5 linked regions of the Rattus norvegicus genome follow. The protein of the gene in region 5 purifies or fractionates together with the protein of the main gene of each other region. This does not show direct contact. Links are inferred from orthologs where the notes say so. Each region holds a gene or a part of one and is shown on either strand. Other genes may lie near its edges.

What was found. Proteins that work in one complex are often made in the same cells at the same time.
Region 1: the proteins of Ctnnb1 (region 5) and Pml purify together in Homo sapiens (affinity purification with western blotting; 3 studies listed by BioGRID). This does not show direct contact. The link is inferred for Rattus norvegicus from reciprocal best matches to the Homo sapiens genes CTNNB1 and PML.
Region 2: the proteins of Ctnnb1 (region 5) and Cdh11 purify together in Homo sapiens (affinity purification with western blotting; 3 studies listed by BioGRID and IntAct, with this or other methods). This does not show direct contact. The link is inferred for Rattus norvegicus from reciprocal best matches to the Homo sapiens genes CTNNB1 and CDH11.
Region 3: the proteins of Ctnnb1 (region 5) and Hnrnpa1 purify together in Homo sapiens (affinity purification with mass spectrometry; 3 studies listed by BioGRID, with this or other methods). This does not show direct contact. The link is inferred for Rattus norvegicus from reciprocal best matches to the Homo sapiens genes CTNNB1 and HNRNPA1.
Region 4: the proteins of Ctnnb1 (region 5) and Cdh5 purify together in Homo sapiens (affinity purification with western blotting; 11 studies listed by BioGRID and IntAct, counting the BioPlex papers as one, with this or other methods). This does not show direct contact. The link is inferred for Rattus norvegicus from reciprocal best matches to the Homo sapiens genes CTNNB1 and CDH5.

The regions. Positions count from the first base shown.
Region 1 is NC_086026.1:67,522,474-67,528,488, reverse strand, and holds the end of Pml (PML nuclear body scaffold), read left to right. Parts: intron 1-860; coding exon 861-1,011; intron 1,012-1,930; coding exon 1,931-2,712; 3' UTR 2,713-5,325; downstream 5,326-6,015.
Region 2 is NC_086037.1:2,307,240-2,313,254, forward strand, and holds the end of Cdh11 (cadherin-11), read left to right. Parts: coding exon 1-39; intron 40-2,098; coding exon 2,099-2,595; 3' UTR 2,596-4,901; downstream 4,902-6,015. UniProt on the Homo sapiens protein: Cadherins are calcium-dependent cell adhesion proteins. They preferentially interact with themselves in a homophilic manner in connecting cells; cadherins may thus contribute to the sorting of heterogeneous cell types.
Region 3 is NC_086025.1:136,255,818-136,260,334, forward strand, and holds the end of Hnrnpa1 (heterogeneous nuclear ribonucleoprotein A1), read left to right. Parts: intron 1-66; coding exon 67-159; intron 160-306; coding exon 307-381; intron 382-584; coding exon 585-743; intron 744-1,262; coding exon 1,263-1,418; intron 1,419-1,608; coding exon 1,609-1,664; 3' UTR 1,665-1,674; intron 1,675-1,901; 3' UTR 1,902-2,602; downstream 2,603-4,517. UniProt on the Homo sapiens protein: Involved in the packaging of pre-mRNA into hnRNP particles, transport of poly(A) mRNA from the nucleus to the cytoplasm and modulation of splice site selection.
Region 4 is NC_086037.1:835,408-841,422, reverse strand, and holds part of Cdh5 (cadherin-5), read left to right. Parts: intron 1-3,151; coding exon 3,152-3,440; intron 3,441-4,247; coding exon 4,248-4,364; intron 4,365-5,785; coding exon 5,786-5,950; intron 5,951-6,015. UniProt on the Homo sapiens protein: Cadherins are calcium-dependent cell adhesion proteins. They preferentially interact with themselves in a homophilic manner in connecting cells; cadherins may thus contribute to the sorting of heterogeneous cell types.
Region 5 is NC_086026.1:129,514,998-129,521,558, forward strand, and holds the start of Ctnnb1 (catenin beta-1), read left to right. Parts: upstream 1-2,578; 5' UTR 2,579-2,720; intron 2,721-2,915; exon of another isoform or gene 2,916-3,044; intron 3,045-6,561. UniProt on the Homo sapiens protein: Key downstream component of the canonical Wnt signaling pathway.

The sequences.
Region 1 (6,015 bases), about 62 Mb from region 5:
AGAGCACCCTTCCCATCCTTGAGGGTTTTGAAATGCTGTTCCAGCCAGGACATCCTGGATGCTGGAGAGCAGGGCCTGATTGGAAGCCTGGGGTGGGTCCCAGAGCTCCAGTCCTCCTTGTACAGCTGAGATAGGAATAACTCAAGGATCTGAGTCTCTGAGCTACTCCCTCCAGGGTCGTCTCCCAGGCAGGGGATGTGTGCCCACCTAGATGTGGACTTCAAGAGGCCAAGCAACCCTTGCCTTCCCTGTAATGTAAGATGTCATGGGTCAGGCTGTCTTTGAGGACAAGGAAAGATAGGCTCCTCCCCTTTCCAAAGAATCACCTGGGGTTGCTGATGAGGCCCCTTTCTCTTGTCTCCATTTGTGCTGTTAGTTTCTTCTGAGTCTTCTCAGAGAGATGAAATTAGTAGCAGATATCTCAGGCCTTGCCCACCAGAGTCATTGGCCCCTTCCCTGAGCCTCTGCAAGCAGGCACAACATGTCCCGTCCCACCCCATCTCACACTTTCACGAACTTGTGTCAACAGTTTATAGATTCATACCTCTCACGTACACACCTGTATACATTCATGTTCCCCAGCATGGTCTTACCCTTTCATACCTCCCTTCCTAAGCTGTGTGCCCTGGCTCATGTGTGTGACCCTTACTTACATGGGACACATTCAGTTCACACCTGCATACACAGTTGTGCATTCCCACTAGTCTGCCCTCTCCTGTGCACAGAGAGGCTCCGACTGTGCTAGCAGGTAACATCCCCACAGCTACCTGTGTGCACACTTGCTCCAGAGCGCAGACTCACCTAGCCTTGGACCTTCAAGGCCTCTGAACTCCTAACCTGTTGGCTTCTTTGTGTTGCAGCCCTCCCACGAGCTGGACGACAGCAGCAGTGAGTCCAGTAGCATCCAGCTGGAGGGCCCCAATTCCCTCAAGGCCTTGGATGAGAGCCTTGCTGAACCCCACTTAGAAGACAGGACCCTGGTTTTCTTCGACCTCAAGATTGATAATGAAAGTGGGTTCCCTGAGACCTAACCTGCCTCTTCTTAGCTTAGTCTCTGAGTCCCCAGGGAAAAGACAGGTAGAACCACGTCTAAGGCTCCAGCCATCCCCTAGTCAGCAATGACAGCCAGGTGGACAGAACTGGGATGCCAAGTGTTGCCATATCTGCAATGGAACCTGGACATGGGAGGGAGAAATATAACTCCACAGATTCACCTCTGAAAAAACCTTTGTGGAGAGACCAGGAACAGTGGATAGGCCATTGTTGACAAGTAATCCACTCTTGACTTTTGGCTATAAACACACATTTCCCAGAACAGGGCCCAGCCCACCAGCAGATACATAAGGAGGCCTGAATAACCCAGGTCACAGAGAGTTGTGACTCCTTCTGGAAGTCCCTAGTCTTCCTCTCTGTCTGGCCTCTCAGCTTTGGCCCTTTACTCTGGTCAGCAGTTATGGGCCCGGTATTGGGAGTAGCCCAGCCAGCCAGAATCATTAGATATTTAGCACAGAAAAACCATCTTTGGGTTTCAGGAGGAGACTCTGGGCCATGCTTTTAAGGGGTGCAGCCCAGGGCTCCAATCCAGCAGGGACAGATGGGGTTGGAGGTGGGAACAGAATAGAAGGCCGATAAGAAACACTGTGGGGTCTCTGTGAGAGGTGGAGGTTGAGGAAATAGAAAATGGGCAGAACTCTAAAGGTTGGGCAAACTCCAGGGCAGGAGAAATAGGAAAAGCCAGCTGTGGGACAGGTGAGCCCCCCAACCCCCATCAGAGCCAGGCAAGGGCTACATATGGAAGATACTTGGTTCCTGCCAGCAGGCTTCCAGGTGGGATTTCTAGACAACGAGTCAGCAGCCCCGATCCCTTGCACCCACCTCAGTGAACCCTCCTGAACCCTGAAACCTCACCCTACCCTTCTTTCCTGCCTAGCCCAGAAAATTAGCCAACTGGCTGCGGTGAACCGGGAAAGCAAGTTCCGTGTGCTCATCCAGCCCGAGGCCTTCAGCGTCTACTCTAAGGCCGTCTCCCTGGAGTCCGGGCTGCAGCACTTCCTCAGCTTCCTCAACTCCATGCACCGTCCCCTCTTGGCATGTCCTAGGCTGTGGGGGCCCGGACTCCCCATCTTCTTCCAGGCCCTGAACGACATTAACAAACTGTGGGAATTCCAGGACGCCATCTCGGGGTTCTTGGCTGTGTTGCCCCTCATCCAGGAACGCATACCCAGCGCCAGCAGCTTCAAACTTAGGAACCTAGCGAAGACCTACCTGGCGAGAAACATGAGCGAACGGAGTGCCTTGGCTGCTGTGCTGGCCATGAGAGATCTGTGCTGCCTCCTTGAGGTCTCCCCAGGTCTGCAGCTGGCCCAGCATATCTACTCCTTCAGTAGCTTACAGTGCTTTGCTTCCCTGCAGCCCCTAATTCAGGCACAGGTCCTGCCCCAGCCTGAGGCCCGCCTGCTGGCCCTCCACAATGTGAGCTTCCTAGAATTGCTGACCGCATACCGCAGCAACCGGCAAGAGGGCTTGAAGAAGTATGTCCACTATCTGAGCCTGCAGACCACCCCATCATCAGCTTCCACCCAGATTGCCCAATTCCTGCAGGCTCTGAGTGCCTACATGGATGGACAGTTGGAAGGGCACATCCCTGCTGGGGCAGAAGGCACTGCTCTTTCTCTCTCTGGCAGAGCTGAAAATAAGGGATGCCTGGCCTAGCCGCTCAGCACAGAAGGAGGGCTGTCTCTGAGCCAGGCCCCACCCTTCACTACATTCCCAGGTCCCCGTCATTTAGTTCAGAACAGGTGTCCTTTCTCTGGGACCAAACTCAATTTTCTCTAAAGTCCCTGCAGCGGACATGAAAGGTACCCCGGGCCTAGATCTCCCTTTCAGAAGCCAGAACCAGGAAGGGTTGCATAAAGAAGGCATGATTTCTGGGCTCCCAAGGCCCCCAGTCACCACCTACCACTACCATGGGTGGCCTTGCAGCTCTCCCTGGATGCTCAATCCGTGTCCCAAGTGACCTGCTGATAGCCCACAGACAATACTTTAAGGTGGTACCAACCGCTATACCAGCAGCCCCATGAGCACTCAAAGTGCCTTTCGAACCAAATCGCCCTCGAGAATTTGGGTTCTCTCAGCCCCAACTGACCAGAGGCCAACTGCGTTCAGTTCTATTTTTCTTAAAGTACTTTTGTTCTAAAGGGGCCTTGCAGCAGCAGAAAGTCAGGAACTGTCGATCCACCCATGCCCGTTTTTAGTCCTCGGTTCATCAAGCCACCAGACTCCTCCCTGCACTCAGCCCTTCCAAGGGGCATCTGTGGAGCACGGGCACCTCAAGCTTGGGATGGCGAACCCGTGGGCTTTACCGAAGGTCTCCGGAATCTCTGGAGCAGGGCCTGTAGTGCTAACACGTTCTCTGGGTGGTTCTGCATGCTCAATTCTGAGCATGACTGCTGCCTCAGACCATCCCCCTAAGGGCAGCAGAGAAAGGCCCTGGCCTTGCACATTGAGGATGACTAGGAAAGGGCCAGAACCCCAGTGTTCTCTGAGGTGAGCTGGCTGACCTGCGGTGTTATCTCAGCCCCCACACAGCCAGCCCTGCCATCCTGGACTTTCAGGGTCAGACAGCAGGTTCACTGGGACAACAGGTAACTTGGAGCCCAGCTCTCATTTTGAGCCATTGGTCCCTGGCCGCATGGCCATCGTGGGGGTCAGTTGTTCCCTGCGGTTGTTGTGCTGCTGCTGCTACTGCTGCTGCTGTCCTCCTCACCCTGACCCACTCTTGGTTGCTCCTATGGTGTTTTCCACGTAGCCCAGAGTGCCCGTGTTTGCATCTTGAGGCCTCCACTTTCATATGGGTGATGTCTGCGTGCCCACACCTCTGACTCATCCTGTGGGTGTTCTAAGGCGATGTTTCCTCAACCTTCCCAATGCTTTGACCCTTTAATACTCAGGTTGCGGTGGCCCCCAACCATAAAATGATTTTGTTGCTGCTTCATAACTGTAATTTTGCTACTGTCCATGAACTGTAATGAAAGCATCTGATATGCGACCCCTATGAAAGGGTTGTTTGACCCCCAGATGGGTCAACAGCAGGTTGAGAACTGCTGCTCTAAGGCATTCTGCAGACGCTCATTCCTACCACAGTAAGGCTGAACTCTGGAAACTATGCATTAGAGCTCTGGTTCTGTGTGGGGATAAGGGTGGGAGGGGAAAGGAGTTTGAGACCCTCGCCTGGCTGTACTGGCAAGGCAGTGCGGGGCCGTGTCTTATACCTTGCCCTTGTCCTATCCCTGAACTAAACAGGGCCCACTGAGTCCCTGCCTCACTAGGTTGCTTGTCTTCAGCTGCTGATAGCTTAGTGACAGAAGGAAGCCCCGCCCTGTCACTGCTGTCACAGCCTTTAGTAAACATGTGAATCCTGAAACCCTAGCTCTTCTCATCCCTCCTTCCCTAGAGGAGCCTTTGAAGTGCCTTTTTTCCTGAGGACAAAATGCTCTCCCAGGCATGGGTGAGCAGGTAATTGCCCAACTCAGCTTTGGGAAAAGTCTTTCAGAGTCTGGCAGAGCTGAGCATCTCCTTGTTCAGAGCTAAGGACATGAATCCTCTATTTCAAGTAGGGAAGCCTAGGTGGACTTCCCTCAGGGTGGCTTCCAAAAGGGAGAGGCATCAACTTCAAGGATTGCCTCCCAAAGGAGGCACGAACCAGAGACCAGGACCTGCAGGCACTTCGCTGCTGGCCTCCCCCGTTTTCAAGTTTCTAGAGCTGGCAATAAAATCCGATAAATTGAAAGTGAGGAGCAGCGTAGGAAATTGGCAATGTGTGGTCCCTCTGTTGTCTTTGATATCCTGGATGGAGCTTAGCTCACAACTTTCAAAGCTTCAGTGCACAGCATACTAGGGGATCAGTTCCTGGGCTGGGTAAGCTGCCAGGCTTGTTCAGCACCAATGTACTCACTTCCTGTCCCAGATGCCCAAGTTCCACTTCCAGAGCTTTAGTCTCTCAGCTTGACCTTTCGACCAAAATATATCGAAGTTTAGCTGCGTGTGCCACATTTTACATTTTTGTCAAGATTTACCCACAGACACAGCAACCAACACCTTATTTGGTCTGGGAGTTGGGATTCAGTTTTTGGTAGATTGTGGCCCTGATCTGGTACTCCTAACTCCCTGGTCCTCAGGCAGCTCCTCTGTAAAGTGAGGTAATGTATGTTATATTTTTACTTCATGAGATCTTTGCTGGAATTAAAAAGAAGAGTAGTGCATGTGACTTAAGGTCTTATTTTATAGACAAATAAGATGAGAGTTACCACGTTTTAAGAAAACGAACACCAAGTCTTAGCACTGTAACAATATGACACACTGTGTTGGGGCACGGGGGAGGCATCTAGATCTATGGGAGCGAGCCAAGAGTCAGGCACCACTACATCATAGTAAGGGAGCAGCTCTGTGTTCCTGACATACCCAGTGGGACAAGGACCTGAAGTAAGGTCAGGCTTCCAGGGGCTGCTTGGCTCATTCCTGCCCCAGCCTCTCTTTTGGGAACAAAGGCTAGCTCATGCCCTTGTGGATGTCCCTTGAAGGTCTGCTTTAGTCTATCCCCAACCATGTTTCCCTATCCTGCACTACACCGAATGCTACTGAGGTGCCTGCTCTGCCACCCTGGACCATACTCCATTTCACCTTCAAAGTTTAACCTTGATCCTGTCCCTCTCAGCAGATCCCCTAGGTCTTCTGAGACGGTCCCTGTCAACACCCTAGGTTTGTCTGGTTCCCCCGCATTCCGGGTTTCTGCCTCTTTTTTTTCTCTCTATTAAGGGCACAGCTAATTAGTGTGGACTCCCTGGCTGTGGCACTCTAGCCGTTAAGTCAGGACTCTGAACCATCCCAGGTAGAAGATGCGCCAAGCTTACACTACTCCCAGCTTCTGTCAGCAGAGGGCGCCACAGCCCACATGTCTGACTAGAGGTTTGTCAGACCATTGTGCACAGCTCTGCTGGGGTTGGTGGCCTAGACATA
Region 2 (6,015 bases), on a different chromosome or scaffold from region 5:
CATTGATCGCCATCCTTGCCTGCATCGTCATTCTTCTGGGTAAGGATCTCTCTGCCCCATGGTCCAACCGATGCACATGCTTCAAGAGACTTACCCAGTACAGAGTGACTGCAAGGACTGTACTGTGTACATTCACACAGTTTAAAACAAACCGCAAGATGCAATAGCTCTCGTGAAGTCTATTGCACAGTGGGTAAGGAGGCTGAGCTGGCCAATTATGCTGGAAGAATTTGAGGAAAATCCTAATGTGGACTTTACGTGGTATGATAGGACAGTAAAGCAAATGCCATCAGTGAGCTGGAGGGACACTGGAAACAGTTGTATAGCTGAAGAATTTATGCAGAAACCTGATATATGAGGGAGGTTTTTCTGTTTAAGAATAGAAATGAAAATGGATTAGGAGCAATGGAACCAAAAGAATAATTATTGTTGCAATGGATAGATGAAGAAAGAGGAGGACCTCTGCCAGAAGAAGCAGAGCAGGGATCTTCTAATTACCTGCAGCATCTATCCATCTGCTTGCTTTGACTTATGGCCATACCCATGAGCTTCTCCATCAGTTGGTGATGAGGTAGGCCTTACTTCTGCTCATGTTGTAACAGAACCAAGTACCACTGTAGGACTTCAAATGCAAGGCATCTTACAACAAATTTACTTATTTTCTATAGGATGAATTAATAGGACCACCTCCATAGGAAGGAGGCAGAGAGGTTGGTTTAGCAGTTATTAGGTGCTATCTGGGAGTCATATCCTATGGAAAAGTCTGAGAGATATAGACAGATGTCTTCAAAGTTTCTATATTGGATGAATTCAGATTCTCAAGGAAGGAATTCACAATCAAATGAAGGTACATTGTTGATTCTGTGGTTGGGACATAAGGTAGTATGGATGTAGGTTAGAGAATGTCTGGCATTGGACAAAGGTGTCAGACATATTCCTAGAGAACATGCACAAATTCTGGAAGTAGAATTTTATAGCTAATGAAAGATGCTGTACTGTGTGGGTGCTCCAAACTAGGTATAAAGCTCTCTCAAAAATTAATGCTAGATGTATAAACCAAAGTATGATAATAAATGTTAGATCATGGAGCAGGAGCCGATAGCCCTGTCTTGTTTCTGACATGGGATACCAAGAAATGTTCCTGAGATGAACAAAAAACCAAAAGCAAGCATAAACAAGCAAATAACAACAGCAAAACAAATCCATTAGTCAGTTAAATAACAACAACAACAAAAGTGAAAAAGGAACCTGGGGAGGATGAATATGCAGCAGAGAAGTCACAGGGCTCCTGGAACTTGTGTAATCTGAGTTAAGTCTAGTTTCTAATCCCTGATCCTTAGAAAGATGTGAACCCAAAGCTCTCACTTTATTTGCCAAAAGCAGCTGCAAGCCTTGTTTTCTGTCTTGTGTGGGAGAGTCTTCAAACAAATGATTTTTGGAGCCTCCTGATGAGAGTGGGGAGGGCACTGAATCGATAGAAATTAAGAAGTATCTAGCATTCCATATAAATGATTGCTGGCTCTGCCAAGTGCGCAAGCCTAGTGGAATACTTCTCCCAGGAAAGATAGGATGGCCACACCTGTGTTTTTAAATAGCATTCCATTTTTATGTTCATTAGGCAGTATATTTTTCGTCCGAGGGTTTTTATAGTTGCCCCCTCACTCTTATGGTAAGATTTACTTCTGTATTACAGAGTAGGGCCTTTGGACAGGAGTCGCCTATTTTCATAGTCCTGAGCGAACATTTTAATCTTAAATGTGGGGGAGTCAGTTATACTTGTTTGCAAGAAGAAATAGGCATTCATGTTCCTCTTTCAGGAAACAGTAATCCTCCCTGATTCTTCAGAGGACTGCCAAATAGCATTGCGATTCATTTGCAAAACACTGAAGATAATTCCAATCTGTCAGTTCACAGGGTATGATGCTCTCAGGGCAGATTGTACAGACAGAGGCAGGTCAGCGTGTAGCTCTTTGGGAGTTCTGGGGAAAGATCCTTTCTCTCATCACTCCAGGTTCTTAAGCAGAGCGCCTCTGGGATGACTAAGCAGGCAGGTTAGGCTTAACTTTGGGTTGCTGACATTCTTTTTCTTATCCTACAGTCATCGTTGTGTTGTTTGTGACCCTGAGGAGGCAAAAGAAAGAACCACTCATTGTATTTGAAGAAGAGGATGTCCGGGAGAACATCATAACCTATGATGATGAAGGGGGTGGTGAGGAAGACACCGAAGCCTTCGACATTGCCACCCTGCAGAATCCTGACGGTATCAATGGATTTATCCCTCGCAAAGATATCAAACCTGAGTATCAGTACATGCCTAGACCTGGGCTGCGACCAGCACCCAACAGTGTGGATGTGGACGACTTCATCAACACAAGAATACAGGAGGCCGATAATGATCCCACGGCCCCTCCCTATGACTCCATCCAAATCTATGGTTATGAGGGCAGGGGTTCCGTGGCTGGGTCCCTGAGCTCCTTGGAGTCTGCCACCACAGATTCGGACCTGGACTACGACTATCTACAGAACTGGGGACCTCGTTTTAAGAAATTAGCAGACTTGTATGGCTCCAAAGACACTTTTGATGATGACTCTTAACAATAATGATACAAATTTGGCCTTAAGAACTGTGTCTGGCATTCTCAAGAATCTAGAAGATGTGTAAACAGGTATTTTTTTAAATCAAGGAAAGGCTCATTTAAAACAAGCAGAGTTTTACAGAGAGGAAACATTTAATAAAACCGCAAGGACATCAAAGTGGAAAATACTGTGAAGTACCTTTTCCCACTAAAAAAAGCAAATATTGAAGTTGTTTATCAACTTCACTAGAGAAAAAACCACTTGGCACACGAAATATTTAAATGGAGGAAAAGTCCACAGTGAACTTACAATGAAGGGAAATCGTCTATGTGTTATGAACATCTGAGTCTCTCTTATTTTATTTTTTAATTTGTCAAAGAAGCTTCCACAAAATTAGAAAGGACAACAGTTCTGAGCTGTAATTTCGCCTTAAACTATGGACACTCTATCTGTAGTGCATTTTTAAACTTGAAATATATAATATCCAGCCAGCTTAAACCCATACAATGTATGTACAATACAATGTACAATTATGTCTCTTGAGCATCAATCTTGTTACTGCTGATTCTTGTAAATCTTTTTGCTTCTACTTTCATCCTAAACTAATACGTGCCAGATATAACTGTCTTGTTTCAGTGAGGAGCACCCTATTTCTATGTCATTTTTAATGTATCTATTTGTACAATTTTAAAGTTCTTATTTTAGTATACATACAAATATCAGTATTCTGACATGTACGAAAATGTTACAGCATCACACTTATATTTTATGAACATTGTACTGTTGCTTTAATATGAGCTTCTATATAAGAAGCAATCTTTGAAATAAAAAAAGATTCTTTTTTAATTCTGGGTTTGATTCTTAACATTGAAAAAAATAAGGATTTCTAATGATCCATTTATATTTCTAATTTAATTGTTATCTTTTAATAACCCTATTTATGATCTGTTGTAGTCTGCTGCTCTTATTGTTTATTTAAATCAAATATGTTTGGGTTTTTTTAAAGATAAGATTCTGTATCTTCATGTAAATTATTTTTGTATGTTCTGGCTTTTCCTGGAGTATATCTTTAAAGAAGGACATTAGAGATCTAGACTAGCCTATGATTAGCCTATGGATTTACAATATGTTATATATTATGCATTTAACTTGTGAACTCACAGTTATGAGAGACAAATTCATGAGGACTGTCAGACCTCTCGATGTTCTAGATATAGACTTGATGGCCCGCCTTGAGCATTGTGGCGTTGAAGGGGTTCATAGTCAAAACCAACTCTGGTTTTCCATATGTAATTTTTATTAGGATAAAGACTGACTGACAGTTGAAAGTGCTCATTTTTTTCCTCCTGTAATTTTATTTTGTCTTCAAATAATATAAAATTTCAAGTCTTGATGAGAGAAAGGACAATTCACTTTCCAACCTTTATTTTAGAAGATGCTTTGGGTCATGTACTCTCAATGAGATCAGGGACTATGTTGAACAGTGATGATTGATGTCATTTGATCTGTGATATGCCACAGTCATATGCAGTTGCCTCTAGTTTCCTGGAAAGTGGAACTTCTGGGAAGGACCTTTCACTTGTACAACGGACCAAAGGTCCAGACAAAGCAATACTTGGGAAGACACCGCACAGAGTCACACTGCAACTACTTCCTCTCCTTTTCTTGAAACACAAGACACATGCTGTTTTTTCCCTTGGATTATGGATATTTTTGGTTCTTTTTTACTTTATTGTAGTTATTTTTTGAGACCTTATACACTATTTTTTTATGATGTGCTCACTCCCAGTTTACAATGCATCGACATTGAATCAGTTGACTAATTCAATGGGAGAAAATCAGTGGACATGCCACTTGAGAGTCTTTTATCACAGGAAGGAATGTGCATTCTAGGTACTTGCAAAATTGCAGGTTAAGTTTATTTTATAGATAGACTTTGTAATCCAAAGAATATTTTGCTAAGTTTATGCTGATCTCCAATTGAATTGAAATAACTGACTAACTCAAAAGGAAAACGAACCTTGTTTACTCAGCTGTAAGTCCCCTCACCATCACAATGATTCTTTTACTTATGTAGGAATGTAGTCAGAATAGAGTTGACAACTCCATTTTCACATTTTTATGCCAAGGAACTTTTTTCCCCAGTACTGTCTACTTTTCAATAGTTAAGAGGTCTTGTTTTTCTTATTCTCTTCCCTTTTCCTTTTTCTTTCCTTTTTCTTTTTTCTTTCCTTTTCTTTCTTTCTTTCCTTTTTTACTTTAAGGATCTTAATGTTTGTAGAATCCTCTTAGAAGCTTGGAAATAAAATGTCTTTCCCAATTCATGGAATCTTTTTTTCATTCGGAACATGTTACCTTAAAAGCATTTTATCTTAAGGGGTCCTTCCTTACTTGCTTATAAAGCAATCACAGCTTCATGACATTGGTGTACACACACATGAAAAAGAAATTCTGGTGTGTTCTATCTGACATGTGTCTATCTGGTATGGTATGGCTTACACTTATCATTCATTCATTCATTCACTTATTGATTCATTCATTCATTGCTGAACTCATTCTTTAAGATCTGATTTTTGCATGCCATATATTAGCTACTTGAAGTTTAGAATAATCTTTGCTACCTTCTTTGACAATGTTTATTTTTCTCAATTATGGTTCAAAATACCTGCTTTGTTGACTTTCCTTCACCTGCTTCATGTTCATATCACCTATCCCTCAAGACATGCAAATAAATATGATTAAATACCTAGGGGAAAGGGTAAGATGGAATGTAGGTTTATTACAACTGTTCCGGTCAGAAATCCTGAGGAAGATGTGGGAACACGAGATCAGGTTATCTATATCTATTAGAGAACATTTTAAAGATGCTGATTCATGATTCACTGTAAATATAGTCACTTAGTCAGATGGGATCTGGTTAAGAGTGTTTGAAATTGTTCTTGGGTCTTTATGCTACTTTATGAGTGTCTTTACAGTTCAGTCAAAAGAGACATAAAGAAATGGAACTGTTGAAGGAATAGTACCACGCTCTATGTAACAAGCAGTTCAGGACAGATTAGAAGTGTATACAACCTAAAACATGGCAGGGCATATCTCTAGGAAGATGAAAATAAGATATAGTGAGATCATCAAATTCATTCATCAGAAATGGGAAAGAAAAATGGGCCTGTTTTGCTCAAGTACTACTAGGATAGTTTATGAAACTGTCAAAAGTTACTTTTGCTCTTAGTTTCTCTTCACAGAGAAGCTACAGTGTTATAAATACAAAACCAAACAAAACCAAACAAACTAGATCATAGTTCTATTAAATAAACTCCTTTCCATTTTCTCAAAGACTTAAGATGAATTTGGATTCCTTTGCTTTCTTACTCTATGAGATTACGATCCTATAAATCTCTTCAATTTTTTTCTCAGTTCATCCTTCTGTCAGTGCCTAGT
Region 3 (4,517 bases), on a different chromosome or scaffold from region 5:
ACTTGGGGTGAGGAGGACACTGTTAGTTATTACAGGTTAACCTAATGATCCAAAATTTCTTTTAAGGTCGAAGTGGTTCCGGAAACTTTGGTGGTGGTCGTGGAGGTGGTTTCGGTGGCAATGACAATTTTGGTCGAGGAGGGAACTTCAGTGGTCGTGGTGTGTATGGCTTTGTTTGGCTCCTTGTTGGTTTTAGAACTTATAACTAGTAATTGCTACCCTGTGTCCCCAGCACTTACAGGTTTTGATATTTGATAAGTATTCATTCACGTACAAAGCCTGGTTTAAAGCTTTGGTTTCTTCCAGGTGGCTTTGGTGGCAGCCGTGGTGGTGGTGGATATGGTGGCAGTGGGGATGGCTATAATGGATTTGGCAATGATGGTAAGTTTCTTAAGGAGTCTGTAAGGAGTGGTTTCTGGCGACCTCTACCTTTAGAATAGGCTACTAGAGACTAAACCTAGTGCATGACAAAGTTCAGTCAGCCCCGTAAAATGCATGCCCTGAGCAGCCTTTAGCTATTTAACTTGCGTAGATTTTTCTTGTTAAATACTTTTGTCTTATTGAGAAGACTTGTATTCTTGTAGGTGGTTATGGAGGAGGCGGCCCTGGTTACTCTGGAGGAAGCAGAGGCTATGGAAGTGGTGGACAGGGTTATGGAAACCAGGGCAGTGGCTATGGCGGGAGTGGCAGCTATGACAGCTATAACAACGGAGGAGGCGGAGGCGGCTTTGGCGGTGGTAGTGGTAGGTATCCAGTGACGCAGGTACTTGGTGCGGAGCTAGATGAGACTTCCAGGGTTTATGCCCGTCTCAGACTTCACGGCTGGCTCTTAGAGCATTGTAGGTACATTGCATGGTGCGTGCAAATAGGCTTGCTATGCTACCTCCTCCTGGCTTTAAGCTGGGGCCGCCTCCCCCAAAATGAGTAGGTGGATGAGTGGTTAGTGTCTTCCTTCCACATGAGGTAGTTAGAGACATAGCTGGATTGTCTACCTTCTGCTGGGACTTCAGGCATTTAGTTGATATATCCAAGAAATGTCTGTCTTGACCTAGAATATGTACACAAAGACCTTCGATTCTAACTTGCCACTGAGAGAAACTGTCATTAGTTAGGTTGATTTTCTTTAAATGTTGGATTATTAACTGAATGCCTCACTCAGAATGAAATGTAAGGGCTTGAAGTTGACAGAAGGTATATATAATCTTTGATTCAGGATCCTAAACACATTGGCTTGTCAGTCATCAAAGACTTTTCCATTTTAGGAAGCAATTTTGGAGGTGGTGGAAGCTACAATGATTTTGGCAATTACAACAACCAGTCATCAAATTTTGGACCGATGAAAGGAGGAAACTTTGGAGGCAGGAGCTCTGGCCCTTATGGTGGTGGAGGCCAGTACTTTGCTAAACCACGAAACCAAGGTATAGTATTATGATGTAATAAAAAACTGATAGTTAAATCTCCCTTCAAAGGGCATCAACCAGGAGGGTCATGTGATCCTTGTTAAGTCATCTTAATTTAAGCTAGGGACGTTTTTAAACAAATCGTTGATAATTACCACAAAATTGTTAGCACAAAGTATTGAAACAAAGCATTGTCTTAATACTTCAGGTGGCTATGGAGGTTCCAGCAGCAGCAGTAGCTATGGCAGTGGCAGGAGGTTCTAATTACAGCCAGGTAAGTGCCTCCTTTGTGTGTGTTCACAAAATTTTATAATTGAACCCAGTAACCCAAATGTAGCTGAGCAGTGCAACATAGTTAACATTATAACTGCAGTAAAATGGTGGATATTAAGTTAATATGCAGTTCAGCAAAATTTGTGGGAAACAACTTGCTCTATTGGATTGTAGCCTTGAGTCTTAATGTGTTTTAGATTAACAACTTTATTCCATATTGTTCAACAGGAAACAAAGCTTAGCAGGAGAGGAGAGCCAGAGAAGTGACAGGGAAGCTACAGGTTACAACAGATTTGTGAACTCAGCCAAGCACAGTGGTGGCAGGGCCTAGCTGCTACAAAGAAGACATGTTTTAGACAATACTCATGTGTGTGGGCAAAAACTCCAGGACTGTATCTGTGACTAATTGTATAACAGGTTATTTTAGTTTCTGTTCTGTGGAAAGTGTAAAGCATTCCAACGAAGGGTTTTACTGTAGACCTTTTTCACCCATGCTGTTGATTGCTAAATGTAAAAGTCTGATCATGACGCTGAATAAATGTGTCTTTTTTTTTTTTTTTTAATGTGCTGTGTAAAGTTAGTCTACTCTGAAGCCATCTTGGTAAACTTCCCCAACAGTGTGAAGTTAGAATTCCTTCAGGGTGGTGCCAAATTCCATTTGGAATTTATTTATGGTTGCTTGGGTGGAGAAGCCATTGTCTTCAAAAACCTTGGTGTTGCTAAACTGCCAGTTACTGTTGTAACTTAATGAGTTTCACCATTTAAAGGGTCATCCAAGCAAGATCACAATTTGGTTATAAAATGGTTGTTGGCACACCCTATGCAATATCAAAATTGAATAACGGTCTCAGATAAAATAACAGATGGGAATGAAGCTTGTGTATCATCCATTATCATGTGTACTCAATAAACGATTTAATTCTCTTGAATGGAATGACAACTGTATGGATTTGGGACTGGCAGAGATTTGGACTTTCCCTACCCAATACCCCTGGTAAATGTTGATTGTTTGTTACCACAGTGTAAGTTCAAAGCTCTGCCAGCATAGAAGCCAACTGCTGGTTAATGCCACCTATAAGCCCAGAGATTAGCAGTGTTGGGGCATCTTTATAAGAACCCTTAATTGCCCTAATCACAGGCTGTAGTGAAGGAAAACTGCAGTTTTAACTGGGTTGTGGGTGGGTGTGCCTCAAGGTGATTCTAGTTCGTTGAAATTTTAAGTTACAAATATAATTAACAATGTATAATTTTGTATTAACGGCAGTTTTCCTTCACACTACTGTCCTCAAGTGTTAATTGTATAGAAAATGAGTTCAAAACAGTTACTATCCGATAATTGTTACTTGTGCATAGGTTCTTACAAGTTTCCCATTTGGTGCCCCTTTTAAGTGCCATTGTACGGGGTAGCATAGATGACTTGTGTATTCCTACTCATGGGTATATATATATTGCTTGGAAGTTTTGGGGAGGGGGGAAGTGGGGAGGTGGGAGGTGGGGGTGGGGGAAGCATGGATGGTAGTTCCATGATACTGGCTGAGTTTGCAATAGCAGGTGGAACCTTAACTATTGAGGGAGTTTGCAGATACCTCAGGAATCGGGACAATGCCTTTAAAGATCCAGGAGATGTTCAGCTACTAGGAACTGCTAGCAAGTATAGCGCGAATGGCTTCCAGCTCAGAATCTCTACAGCTGAGAGTAGACACTTGTGGTATGTGGAGTACAGATAAGCCAGGGGCAGGCCACGGCACCTCCATGAAAGCTAGGAGGGAGTGAAGTTTGAGTGACCATCGCAAGGAAGGAGGCAGACGAGAGTAAGGCACACCTGACTCTTAGGACTAGCAGGCAGAGCCAGAAGGAAAGGTTTATTGCTATGCTGCTAGGTAAGAACAGATTTTACTTACATCCGTATAGTTATAAATTATAGTCCAATTTTCTGTTGGATTTCTCTTAATTATATTGAGCCAAAACTAGTCCAGTTAAGCTGCACTTGGTTTTTCTGGAGATGAATTGTTTTTATTTAATTAATGCCCTATTAGTCCTACTTGAAGGGAATGAATACATTTCTATTGTGACAATATGTTTTGGCCCTTTAATTTTATTTAACCTTCCTTTGACCCATTTTCTTAAAGCAATGGCTCAAAGTAATATTAGATACATTTCCCCAAAATGGTGGGAGGGTGGGTGGATTGTTAATGGGAGGGGGTGGGACTAGTTTAATGATGGGAATTGGCCCCACAAAAGGCTAGTTCTAAATGTTGTTTGCTTTTTTAGGAAGGAATCTGCTATGAGGCTTAACTGCTGTCATAAAATTTGTTTAAAAAACATGCTACAGAAGTTATTGGCTAAAAGGTGAGTTTTTGACTGATAATTTGTTAGAACTGTACATACAAACCAGGAGTCCACCACTGTCTTATGTAAAGCTGCATAACTGTCTTTCTTCTCCTTTACAGGAACATCCTTAAGAGAAGAGCCTTTATTCTGGGCCACTCTACTACTTCTCACTGCCATGCAGTTGGGTTTTAGCTGTACTGCTAAAAATCATTCAATTTTGTGAATGGCTTACTTTTTTTACAATAAACTTTTTAATTAACTTGGCTCTTGTCTTCCTTTGTGGCATTTTACAGCAGCAATGAGTCTTTTTACTCCTTAACACAGACTGAAACCCACATTAAAATCTAAAGACGTAATCTGGTCAGGGTGGCAAATGCCTCCAATCCCAGCACTCTGACCCAAGCATCTAATTTCTTCAGTTAGAGGATGGATTCTGTGTGGTTTACACCTAAGAGTGTTTTGAGAGGGTCTCGCTATAGTCTTGGCTGGCCTAGATCTCCCTGCCTTAGCTCC
Region 4 (6,015 bases), on a different chromosome or scaffold from region 5:
GGGTGGAGAACCAAGGCAGTGGTGAAGTTTTATGATATGGAACAGGCAAACACTGCTACAGATACCATCGCACGTTGGATTATGAATTTTGTCATTATGCATGAAGAAAGTATTCATTGTTGCCAAATTTTTCACAACTCCTACATTTAGGCATGTGACACAACATGAGGTCGATGTCAGGTTTTGAGAGCCTGACATCTAGAGGAACAGCATATATCAATGAACCCCACAAGCTGTGTGGACAGAAGTGTTTTGGAGATACAGAAACAGGCTGAAGAGGACCTTTGATGGGAAGGCACAAGTCTGAACACAACACCAGAATGGCCTCCCCAATTCCTGCTAAAGGAAGCAGGTGGAGTGGTCTGGGAAGTGTCTACTAACAGCCCCACCCACAGCCCGCTGACTGGGCACACAGGCTGCTCTGACTTCCAAGAATGGCTTTTTTGGAAATGGATTTGATGTAAATCCTGCCTTCTGACCAGTCAGAAGGAAAGACACACATCTAGACTTACACAGTGAGCTCTGTGTCATAGAGGGAAATGCCATTAGTCCAACTATTGCTTTCCCAATGGGATAACTGGACATGAGTCATCCTCTGAGGAGAATGGTTAGCCGTGATGGAGATCTGAAAGATGAGTCATGAAGAACTATCAGAAAGTGCAGGCCAGAGCCAAACAGGACAAGCTTTGGAAGGGCGTCAGATGCTCTGTGTCTTGTGATGACAGAATCTATTTGGTACCTAACATGGGGTCAGAGAAGTAGAGGAACCACACGTGATCCCCATCCTGGATAAAAGAAGAGTATGCACAAGACACAAACACAGGACTCCAAGGGTCCCCTCCTGGCTCTGAGGACACAATCTGAAGGAAGTGCGTGTTTATCAGGGTCAAAGTCTGGAGCGTTTGTTTATAAACCTGGATGGACAATGGGAGCCAGCTGGGAGTAGCCTGCCAGGGTAGGGCAGCTGTTGGCATTGAGATATTTCACCCAAACACAATGATATTAGAAAGGGGCGGGGCCAAATCTACTATACTCCAGTTCAGTGGTGAGAAAAACAGAGAAGTTTACATGGAAAGGCATCCAGTGGGAGTCCTGACCACCACTCCTCCAAACCATCAAGTTCATCAAAAATCAACTCTCGGAAACTGTTACCACCAAAGTAAAACCATAACTAAATGGCATGGTTGGATGGTGAGTGGGACATAAATACAAGATTAAAAAACATGAAAATCTGTAGAAGTTACCTGTGTTAAGCAATAATACTTCATCCGTTTGGTCCCTTCGTTGTAACAAGGGACCACACTAGTGTAACGTGTGCTGCTGAGGTGAAGGGGAAACAGGCACATGGGAACTAACAACTGTTAAACTCTAGGGACACTTCTGGAACTCCAGGATTGGTCCATACCCTTTTGTTACCTCCTTCTCCTCTGAGGCTTCTGTATTGACCTCCTGACCACCCTCTCTCTTCTCCCACCTTATTAACTAGTTCTAACTGCACACCTGCACACAAGGGTATTGCCTCATCTGATCCAAAGGGTCAGCCTCAGTTCTGAGAGCCAGAACGGGGCCTTGGATATCTATGGGTTCTATAGCGTGCCTGCTACCTGGTAGGCATCCAATTTCTGTTTTATTCAAGTGGAATTCTGTTTGGGTCATTCTAGCCTTCTAGAAAAAGTACTATTTTGAGCTCATAAAGATTTAGACTAAATATCCTCCAGTTGTAAAATATAGGATATTCAGCTCTCAAACTTCGTATTATTGTTTGACTTGTGGGTCTATTATTAGCATTTACTATCATTTACCTCAATGATGTTCAGTGCAAGGTGCCAGGCACACAGTGCTTTTCCTTAAGCTACTAATAGCATGTATAAAAGAAAGAAAGCTCAGAGGTCTAAGAGGTGCAGGACATCCTGAGTTAAACAAAATTCATAGGAGTTCTGCTCTGCAGGTTAGACACTGCAAATCACCAAGAAGAGAGTGTCTTGTGCCTCATTCCAAAAGCAAATTTACTGGGACCAATACTTAACTGTGCTGATAAATGTCTGACATCTGGTTTTGCAGGGAGAGTGCAGATGTGTAGAGCGTGCCAATTCCCACAGTGTAAACACTCAGCCTTTGAACTGCTCTGTGACATCCCTGAAGGCAGAGTTAGTACAAGACGTGCACGGCCCTACCCCATCTGAATTCTGAGCATGTGTAAATCTTTGCTTCTCGAATAGCCATATTAGTCACATTTCTGTTGCTGTGAGAAAATACTTAACAAAAGTTCAGGAAGGAAGAGCTAACTGGGCTCACAGTTTAAAGGTGCAATCCGTCTTGGTGGGGAAGACATTACAGTGCAAGCATCTGTAGTGAGAAATCAGAGAGAGGTGGACGAAGCTGCTTCACTTGCCCAGTACGTAAGGCGACGATGCCCACACTCAGTGTGAACCTTCTCATTCCTGTCAACGCTCTCTAGGAAAATTGCAACAGGCACCATCTCCAGAGGCATGTCTCCTAGACTGGTTCCAAATGCCCAAATCCTGGGTCAACAAACCATCTATGATGATGATTTATTTCATTGTACGTTCAGATAATTTAATTTTTAATATGGCCACATTTGACAGCCTGATCACAAATATTCCCCAACTCTAACCAAGTCTTCAAAGCCATATTGATAGAAGCCAGTTCTAGCACATCACCGGCACGTGTCCCATTTTTGCACGGAACAAGAGAAGCCAAGCTTTCCTGGCATTCATTTCCAAGTGGGAAGCTGTATCCATTAGTGCAAATCAACCTTAGGAATCCAATTGGGTCCATTTTAAAGATGAGATAGTAAAAACCCATGTCTTCCAAGGGAGAAAGACACTATTATTCTCTGGTGGCAAATGCGTGACTAGGCTCCATGTGCCATTCTAGGCATTGGACACAGCTAAAAAAGATGCATCACTACCGTGCTTGCAGTGACCTGGTGAAGACAAGCTCACTGGTGACCAGTTGAAAGTTCTTGTTTAAAGCGTCAGTGTCAGGGTGAGCATCCCTACTCAGCACTACACACACATATGGTCAGCATACATGCATGCATCGTCACATGTGTGCACACACACAAGCATGCACACTCGTGTATGCACCCACTGCCCATTCCCAGCTCATGTTGCCTGTTCTTCCCCAGATCAAGTCCAATGTGAACCGTCAGAATGCTAAGTATGTGCTCCAAGGAGAACAAGCTGGCAAGATCTTCAGGGTCGATGCTGACACAGGGGATGTGCTTGCCTATGAGAGGTTAGACCGGGAAAAAGTCTCTGAGTACTTCCTTACTGCCCTCATTGTGGACAAGAAGACCAACAAAAACCTGGAACAACCTTCCAGCTTCACTGTCAAGGTGCATGATGTAAATGACAACTGGCCTGTGTTTACGCACCAGGTATTCAACGCATCTGTGCCCGAGATGTCAGCTATAGGTATGTGCCTAGTCTTTCCTCTCTCTCCTCCCCTCCTCAACACCAGCCTGAAGACACCTCTCACATCAACCACCTCAATGCTTAAGGCTGGGCTCCAGTAAGCTCAAGGAAGTAATTGTGATGCTGTCTTGCACCTTTACATGATTTTGAAATGTGTCCTTAAAGGCTAACCTCTGATCTAGTCCCAAACTAAAACCTGACCCTAACCATAGATGGGTTTTAATCCTCATAATGTGCTGAGCACTGACTCTCTTTATAGCCTGGGCCCTGATCCTGACCCCAGAGCGTGTAATCACCCTAGATATGGGCTTGGGAGGTACTAACCTATCCTCAACCTGCTTCCAGAAGGTCCAGACAGAGAGTGTGTTTCTCTAGTCTTCTGTCCAGGATCTGCGCTCAAGACCATGGGACCAGACCTCCTTGAGGAAGTCTAGAACTCCAAAGGATGAGAAATAGGATCTCCATCCCTCTCGGGGCTTTGCAATACCCTTCCCAGTCCCACATTCTCATACTTTCAGAAAAGGAAAATCCACCCAGACATCACCTAAGTTACTCTCTCAAACCCAAACACCTTCATTTCTCCTGCAAACATACAAATCACCTGTTCTCTTTGCCTGTTTTCTGACTGATCTGGCTGGGCTCACCCTTGCTGGCACTTTGTCCTCGTGATGGCCCCTCTGGCACAAAGCAACCCTCATTCCCTCAGCTTGGGCAAGTAGGAACAGCAGAACCCCATTTACTATCACCAGGAAACAGGGTGAGGACCACAGTCATGAGCAGAAACACCAGAACTCTCTCTCTCCACAGGGACCTCTGTCATCCGTGTGACAGCAACGGATGCAGATGACCCTACGGTGGCTGGCCACGCCACTGTCTTGTACCAAATGGTGAAAGGAAATGAGTACTTCGCCATCGACAATTCTGGTCTGTATGACTAAACCTTTTGGGAGGGTGCCTATTTAGAGGGATGGGAGAGGGGCATGAATATTGCAGGGGCCAATGTAGAGAGAACTCTAATCTGATGGGTGTTACCAGTCACTGATCCAGAGAAGGAGTGCATAATAAATATAAAGACATATTGGAGTGGGTTAGGGGAGAAGAAAGCAGACAACTGCCCAAAACATGTACTCAAGTCCAGAAAGAAAATCAGGGCCTTTTCACCCAAGCATAGACCAGGACTCAAAAGAACATAGTGGTTGGAAGGTCTTTGTACATGTTCAGAGACATCTGATTTGAGCCTAGAACTGCTGCTCAGCCCTACAGCCCCTTGGAAAAGTTATCTAACACCTAAGAACCTTGCTTCCTTTGTCCAGAAAACAGGAATGCTCATGGTCCCTTGTGCAGTAGCTGTGAAGTTGGAATTAGATTTTGCATAGGCACAGCCATGCCACATAATTTTTTTGTGCCTCGTTAAGAGAAAACTTTAGACCAATTAAATTTTATCGAGTTTAATTTTTGCAAAGAACAGTTCACAAATTGGGACACCCCAGAAGCCAAACAAGTTCAGAGAAACCCCAGGGCTGCCACATAGTTGGGTGATATTTATAGTGCAGGGAAGAAAAAAAAAAACCTGCAGTCTAGAAACAGCTCGGTCGTTTCCAGCTGGGGTGTCTGCTTTATTTGAATAGCTTTGAACAGGTGGCAGCCTATGATTAACTGAAGCCCAGCTGCTGTGATTGGCTGAGCATACTCCTAAGTTAGGGCTTTAGTTTATTTACATGCTACTAGGTTGCAGTTCATCACAGGATTCAAGTCTGCAAGTACAGAAGGCTTCTCAGGCCAAATTTGGTGTTTAACAAATTTAAAAAACTGTAAGAACCGAACCGCGGAAGCAAGAAAGAAGGCCAGTTAGTCTAGCCAGACACACTTGTCTTCCAGAAGATGAGCAAATACACAGAGCAACTGGTACTTCTAAGGGCACCAAGAGATATGTCACTAATCTATCACAGCACTCGTAGCACTAAAAAGGGCAGCCACTTCTGCATATGTCAATACAGACATCATTAATCGAGTACAGCACTCTCAGTTCTAAGACACAGCATAGCCAATCATATTTATGTGTACCAGGGCAGACATCACTAATCTATCTCACTCTGAGTCTGGAATTGGCAGTATGGTCTTTCTCAACATTACATTCTCTTTGGCTAGGAACAATACTGAACCATACATTTGGCCAACTTTTAGCCATACAGGGCAAGGTATGGAGGCAGTGGACTATAGTTCTAGGGATCTCAATCTCAGATATATAGTGGAGTCACCGGTGTATTTCTGAAAGGATCTTGGCATTCAGATTTTCTCAAGGCTCCTCAGGTAACACAATATCTGTTGGGTCACTTTCTTTTCAGGACTCATTTTCACAAAGGACAAAAACTTGGACAGAGAGACACGGGCTGAATACAAGATCGTGGTGGAAGCACAAGATGCCCAGGGTCTGCGGGGAGAGTCAGGCACAGCCACTGTGCTGATCAGATTGGAAGACATCAATGACAACTTCCCCATCTTTACTCAGTGTAAGCCCCTCTCATAGGCCCTTAAGTAGACAGGGGCTGAGACGATCCAGATTCAGTGATTTGGG
Region 5 (6,561 bases):
TGTTTCTGAGTGCATGGTTCTGCTGGGAAAGGATTTGTCCTTCCCAGGGGGATTGGGATGGAATCCAAAGTGGACCACACCCTAATTTCAGTTTGCTTTCCCGTCTTTTGTGCCTATTGTCAAACAGACTTGACAATTACAGTTTTACTTTAAACGAAGGTGATAATCAGAAGAAGCAGTCACCGGCTGTCCTCAAAAGGAGGTTCATTGTTTTAGGTATGCAGTAAATGTTTGACTAATGGATTTGTTAGAGTAGAAGGACCAGTGCTGGCTTATTAATACCACTGCACAAAGTGCAGACACAAGCTGAACGTGTGTGTGGTGTGTGTGTGTGTGTGTGTGTGTGTGTGTGTGTGTGTGTGTGTGTTAGTGAGTATACTCTAGGCTCGTGTTCAGTGTAGCCAAAGCCTGATCTTCGGGTGTTCTGACTATAGGAAAAACACCCCCCCCCCTTTCTCAAAATGAATTATTTTATGTCAAACCCATTGGGCTGATCTTGGAAGAAAGGGTGTAAGAGAGAGGCCAAGTGCCATTTAAGTGAAGTGTGTTACCTAGGGTCAATTGTTTTAGCAACTAATTTCATAAAACCGCCCCCTCCTTAGCTACTTATGTTATTTTCAAATTAGCTCTTGGAACCAGCAGGTTTCTTTATCCGTCAGGTATCTTGATGACGTGCTTCTTTCTAGTGTAATGACAGCATTTGTCTTAATTTCATAGAAATTGTCATCTGGTTTTGGTGACAAAAAAATTCTGGAGCAGTTTTGTTTCGTGAGAGAAGCGAACAGAGGTCTGGAGGAAATGTAAAATTCAGCTCACTGGTTTCAAGGCCAGTCACCTGGTTATGTCTCCAGCAGAGTTACCCTTGACAGGAAGAGCGGTGCTGCATTGTGGCAAAATCCGCCTTTTCTCTGAAACATAGTCTCTGTGAATTATCAATAGGGACGGAGACTTTTAATTCTAAGCTGGGATTAGAATGCTGGAATTATATGCTTTATGTTGGCATCTGGCTAGAGAAATATAAATATAGAGGTGTCTTTATCATTTAGATCTTTCATTGGCGCAGACATTTCTTAACGGGTTTTAATAGCGTTCCCCCCCCCCCCCCCCCGGTTTTTTTTAAAGCTGAATTGGGACACAGAAAAAAGAAGCAAGTGTCAAAAAAAAAAAGATAAGAAAAGAAAGAGAAAGAAAGAAAGAAGGAAAGAAGGAAGGAAAGAAAGGACACCCCTGACAGAGGTGAAGTCAGCTATCTAATTTTAAAAGCAGGACCTTAATCGAGTCGAGCAAATATTCTTTAACTCTGCATGTGACAATTAAAATTAGGGATTGGTGGCTGCAACCACCACTGGTAAAATACCTTTTCCTGACCCATCTCCCCGAGTCAGCCAAGTGAGCCCCAGCCAGCAGCAGAGTTGATTCTGTGGAAATCCCAGCAGAGCTGCAGAGGGGAAAGGTCTAGACAAAGGCCCTCACTGAGCAGCTCCTTCATGGTGGACTGTGGTGGTTCACAGAGTTACGGCGATATGTCTTTAAGATAGGAAATTGAGTCATTTAAAAAAGAAGCTGGCCGTACAGCCCTGGCCCTGCCTCAGTGGTTGCGCAGGCTTCCTGCCAGTACCTGTACATAAGGGCCTATTGTTTACTTGCGTTAATTACAGCGCAGGATGAAAGAAGGCAATAGGGCAACTTTCGCTGTTACCATTGTTTGGGAAGAGACACGAGCTCACAATAATAGACTGGAGACAGCCAATTCACCCCAACTGCACCAGTTTTGACAAGTGCCAAATCGTGGAGGACAACAATGAGGCCATTTCCAAGAGAAGACCCAACTTCAGCCTATTGTAATGATTCAGAAAAAAAATAATGCTCTCGAAGGATACTAAATTAGTTTTGAAAATTTTAAGAGGTTATCCACAGGTCCTCTCAGCAACACACTCGAGTTTCTCAAACAATACAGTAAAAATTGCAGTCCCTGGAAAACGTCCCCACTTCTGGTTCTGTAGACACTGACCCAGTGGGTCCGGGTAAGATGGGATTTCTAGGAATCACACTGATGAACAGGGCCGTGGAGCTGAATCATTTATTCTAGTTAGATGTCAGCAGTCACTCCTGGGGACTCCATGGCCTCCTGGGGTGGGGAGGAAAGGTGGCTGGGCTCCGAGATCCCTGTCCGGATTCTAGAGGCACGGCAGGAAGAGGAGCGGGACACTCCCGCGAACAGTGAAGTGTAGTGGGGTCCAGTGGTGGTTTAGGGGTGTGGCGGCCGAAGCCCCGGTGACTACAGTCTCGAACCTGCGCCAACAGTGGCCGCGCTCCACCCGGCCCGCAGCGACGGACCGCACTCGATCCCATTAGTTTCCACTGGAGCGGGGTCGGGACGCCACGCCCCGGCCCGGCCCCTCCCGGCGGCGCACGCGCAGAGCGACTCGGGCCGGCGGGGACTACTTTCCGCGGCCCGCCCGCGCCCCGCCCCTCGTCCTCGCGCGGCGGAACGCTCCGCGCGGAGCGGCGGCGGCAGGATACACGGTGCCGCGCCGCTTATAAATCGCTCCTTGTGCGGCGCCATCTTAAGCCCTCGCTCGGTGGCGGCCGCGTCAGCTAGTGTTCTGTGCAGCCCGCGGCCCGGGGAGGCGGAGACGGAGCACGGTGGGAGCCGAGCCGTCAGTGCAGGAGGCCGAGGCCGAGCGGGCGGCCGCGAGGGAGTAGCGCGCGGCCCCAAGGTACGGCGCGGCGGCGGGCCGACTCGCGCCGCGCCAGCGGGAAACTTCGCGGGCCGGGTGGCGGCGGGAGGCCGCGGGGACGCGCGGGCTGGGGCCGGGGCCGGGCGGGCGCGCGCCGGGAGCCCGGATGGACGGGTGGCCGCCGTGGGGGGTGGGGACCGCGGTTCGTGTCCCGGCTGGGGCCGCGGCGGGGGCGGGGTGGGCGGGGGCCCCTCCTCCGTGGCCCGCAGAGCCGGGGGACGCGGGACCTGGCACGCGTCCCCTCTGTCCCTCGTGGAGCACGCACAGATAGGTCTTTTTTTCCCCCCCTGCAACGATCTGACTGTGAGTTTGAATCCAAACAACTTTAAACCGTGGAGTCGCCAAACTTGGATGCGGCGTGCGGGATGCGTCGGGAGCGTGTTCTCGGAGGGTGGTGGCGTCCTGGACTCGCGTGGGGTCGGTGGCTGTGGGGCCGAGAGGTGCTGGCGGGAATTCGGGACCGTGGACGAGTCACCGGCCACTCCTGGGGGGAGGGTGTGCGCGGGACCCGAAGCCTGAGTTTGGGGGAGGGGGACTTGCCCTTAGCCAGTAAGTGTGGGGTCCGCCTCAAGTGTTTCTCCCCGGCGCGTTTGCTTTCTGGGCGAGATGGAGTGGCCAGAGCGCTGACCGCCAGGGCGTGGGAGCCTGGAGACTTGTTCTGAGTGTTGTTTGGGGGACCGGACTTGGAACCGACGCTCCAAGTTCGGTGCCCCAGGCCCGCTCCCGTGAGCCCGCTGGCTGCGGGGCAGCTTTGTCTCGGGCTCGGGTCTCCAGACATCTGTGGGCTCCCCTCCCCCGCGCCCCCCGCACCCCCCCCGCCCCCGGGCCTGAGCTCTGAATGGAGAGCGACTGGGCTGCTGGTATGCGGAGGTCGGCGAGAGGAAATCGAGGAGTGGTTTTAGTGAAACGAGAGCTTTGTGCCATGAATAATGGTGGCTTAGACCAGACAGCAAGCTGAAGAGACGGCAGCGTTGCCTTTGATAAAGTCTGCCTCATGTTTTTCACATGGCCAAGTTGTGAAGCATTTTGTCTGGGATTTAGGAAGCCATTTCTCTATTTACTTGAGGCTTGCAGACGTCTCGGTGCAGACTCCTCGTCCCGGGAAAGAGCTTGCCCTCTTGGTTCTGATTTAATGCTGCTTAAACTTGTAGCCTTTGCATTTCGATTTTGTATGTCGGGCTCAAACTTTACTTGAGTTAAGGTCTTCTGTTACATTTAGTTCATTTTCACCTTAAACATTCAGAAATCCCCCAATTAAAAAGAAGTACCTCAAGGTTTGTTTGAGGACGTCCTTTCTCAGCAGAAAACATTGATGACAGTGCTGGGGATAGTCATTCTGTGACCTAACCTTTGTCCTGAAGGCCGAGTCTGGACAAGGCCTTTAGCGGTGGCAGGGAAGTTGGAAACTTGTAGATCTTTCTCTACAACTAACCCTCCCAGGCTGAAGTCCTTGAGGAAGCAGGCTATCTGGGAAGCTTAGCTTGCCTGGGACAGAGTCCTGGGCCTCACGGTCTGCAAGAAGACCAACCTCAAGTCCAAGAAATAGAGTTCACCTGTCATCTGGTCATTTCTAGTAGATAGTCTAGAGCAGCGGTTCTCAGCCTTCCTGATGCTGCGACCCATTAACAGCTTCTCAATTGTTACAGTAACCCCAACCCCAAAATTACGTGCTTGCTGCTCCATAACTTGCTACTGTTAAGAACCATAATGCAAATGTCTATGTTTTCTGTGGTCTTAGGTGACCCCTGTGAAAGGGTTGTTGGACCCCCAGATTGAGAACATTAGTTTAGAGACTGAATATTGGGTATCAGATGTCTACAACTCGAGGGGAAGTGTCTCCTGCTGTAGTGACGATGGGACTAGATTGGGAATGAAGCTTTAGCACTAGTTTCAGAATGCCATTGGCGGGGTGGGGTGGGGATGAGAAGACAACTTTCTTAGTATTTTGAAATGTGTGCTCAGAAAAACTGGTGGAGCCCTTTTGCAAATAAATGCAGAGCAGAGCATGGCCAAGAGGCCTGTGCACACTGCAGGTGGGGGTGCAGTGGTGGGCCTACCATAGTCTGCTGCCATACTTTTAAGCAGGAAGTGGACAGTGAAAGTAGATGGAGTCAGATGAAATGCTAGTGCTGAGGTGAGGTCAAGGTCTCTGCCCATCACCTAGTGGTAAATTTTTAGTGTCCTTGGTCACTGGCTTGGTCAGAAACATACCTGCGGGATAAACTCCTGGTAAACAAGTATTCACAAACTCGTTACAAACGTACATACGTTTTAACTCCACTTTTTGTTTGTTTTGTGGCTCCTGTCAACTTGTTTGCTATTTAAAACAATCTCACTGAAGACATCTTTATGCATAGAGAGAAAATAGCTGAGCAGCTGCCTCAGTTCTGAGGCCTGTGGAGGCAGCCTCTGTCCTGAGACATGGTCAGCCATGAGATGCTTCTGTTCAGTAACACCATTCACGGTGTGATTCCTAGATCAGCTAACAGGTTTTACAAAATGGAAAGTGATTTATGTCAATTGGAAGTGGATCAGAACTTCTTTACGCTCCGGAAAAAGGTCTTCATTTCTTGTTACCTAAGAAAGCTGCCTATGTATGTATTCATTGCAAGACCGGGCTTCCCTTGGCTGGGAACCCAGATTTATCTGCGGGGGTGGAACTCTGGAAAAAAGCATCTAACCTTCCATGAGGAGAAAGACTTTTTAAAGGAAGTAGGCAGTCCTGCTAGGACTTAGCCACTGTTTTGGAACTTAGTTGTCTCTTTTAATTAAGACTCATTTCCCAGTTTCAATTGAGACGGCAGTGCTGTAGTCATGTCCAGCGCCCCCCGGTGGACAGAACACAGGTCACTTTTCCTTGTTCTCAGCAAGTTTGTGTGGAATGGATCCTGAAGACTGTAAGGTGAACCAGTTGTGCCAGTCACTAGACTGGCCTGGGACGGTAGCTGCCTCTCTGCAAGAGAGCAGTCTGTCAGGGCACATCTGCTTACAGTAGGAGCCCAAATGCTCAGGCGCCTCGGGGAGTACAGGAGGCTTGGCTATATTGAGGAGGTAGAGGTGAAATTCTCACAAGTTCCCAGTGAAGATCTGTCACTTTAAAATGCAAGTGCAGTTCCCTCTGGTGAACCAGGAGCAGTATTGGTGGTGGGAAGGTTGTCTGTGGCACACTGAGAGTGCTTTTGTTCTTACAGACCTTCCTTTCCGCCCCTGAGCATACGATACCGTTTCAAGTTAGCCAGGTTAAGAGAGTGAAGTGTATTCTGAGTTAGTTTTGGAAGGGAAATGGTCAGTATATGAAGGATTCTTGAGAGTTTAAGAGTTTGGTTTGGGATTCTGCTTTTCAAAACCAAACTACAATCAAATAGCATAGAGACAGGTGGTGATCATTTAGCCTTCAGAACGCACGGAAACATGAGTACACATTTCTTGCTTTAAGGGAGCACTGTCACATTTGAATGTGACTTTTTAAAAATTCTCTCTTTTTTTTGGAAATATTTATGTCATTTCCCCCTTCCGTTCCTCCAAACCCATATACCCTTCTTGCTTTCATTCAAATTCATGGCCTCTATTATGAATCATTGTTACATACATACACACACACACACACACACACACACACACACACCACTAACTACAACCTGTTCGGTCTGTATGTTTATAGAGCTGGTGTTGGATGACCAATTGTATTCCTCTCTAGGGAAGACTCTCAGGGATTCTCAGTTGCCTGTGGTTCCTTGAGGCCACGTCTGCCCCTCCCTCCACTCAGCACGTCCCTTGTACTATTAACTATCTACCTAAAAATCTTATAGTACACATAATC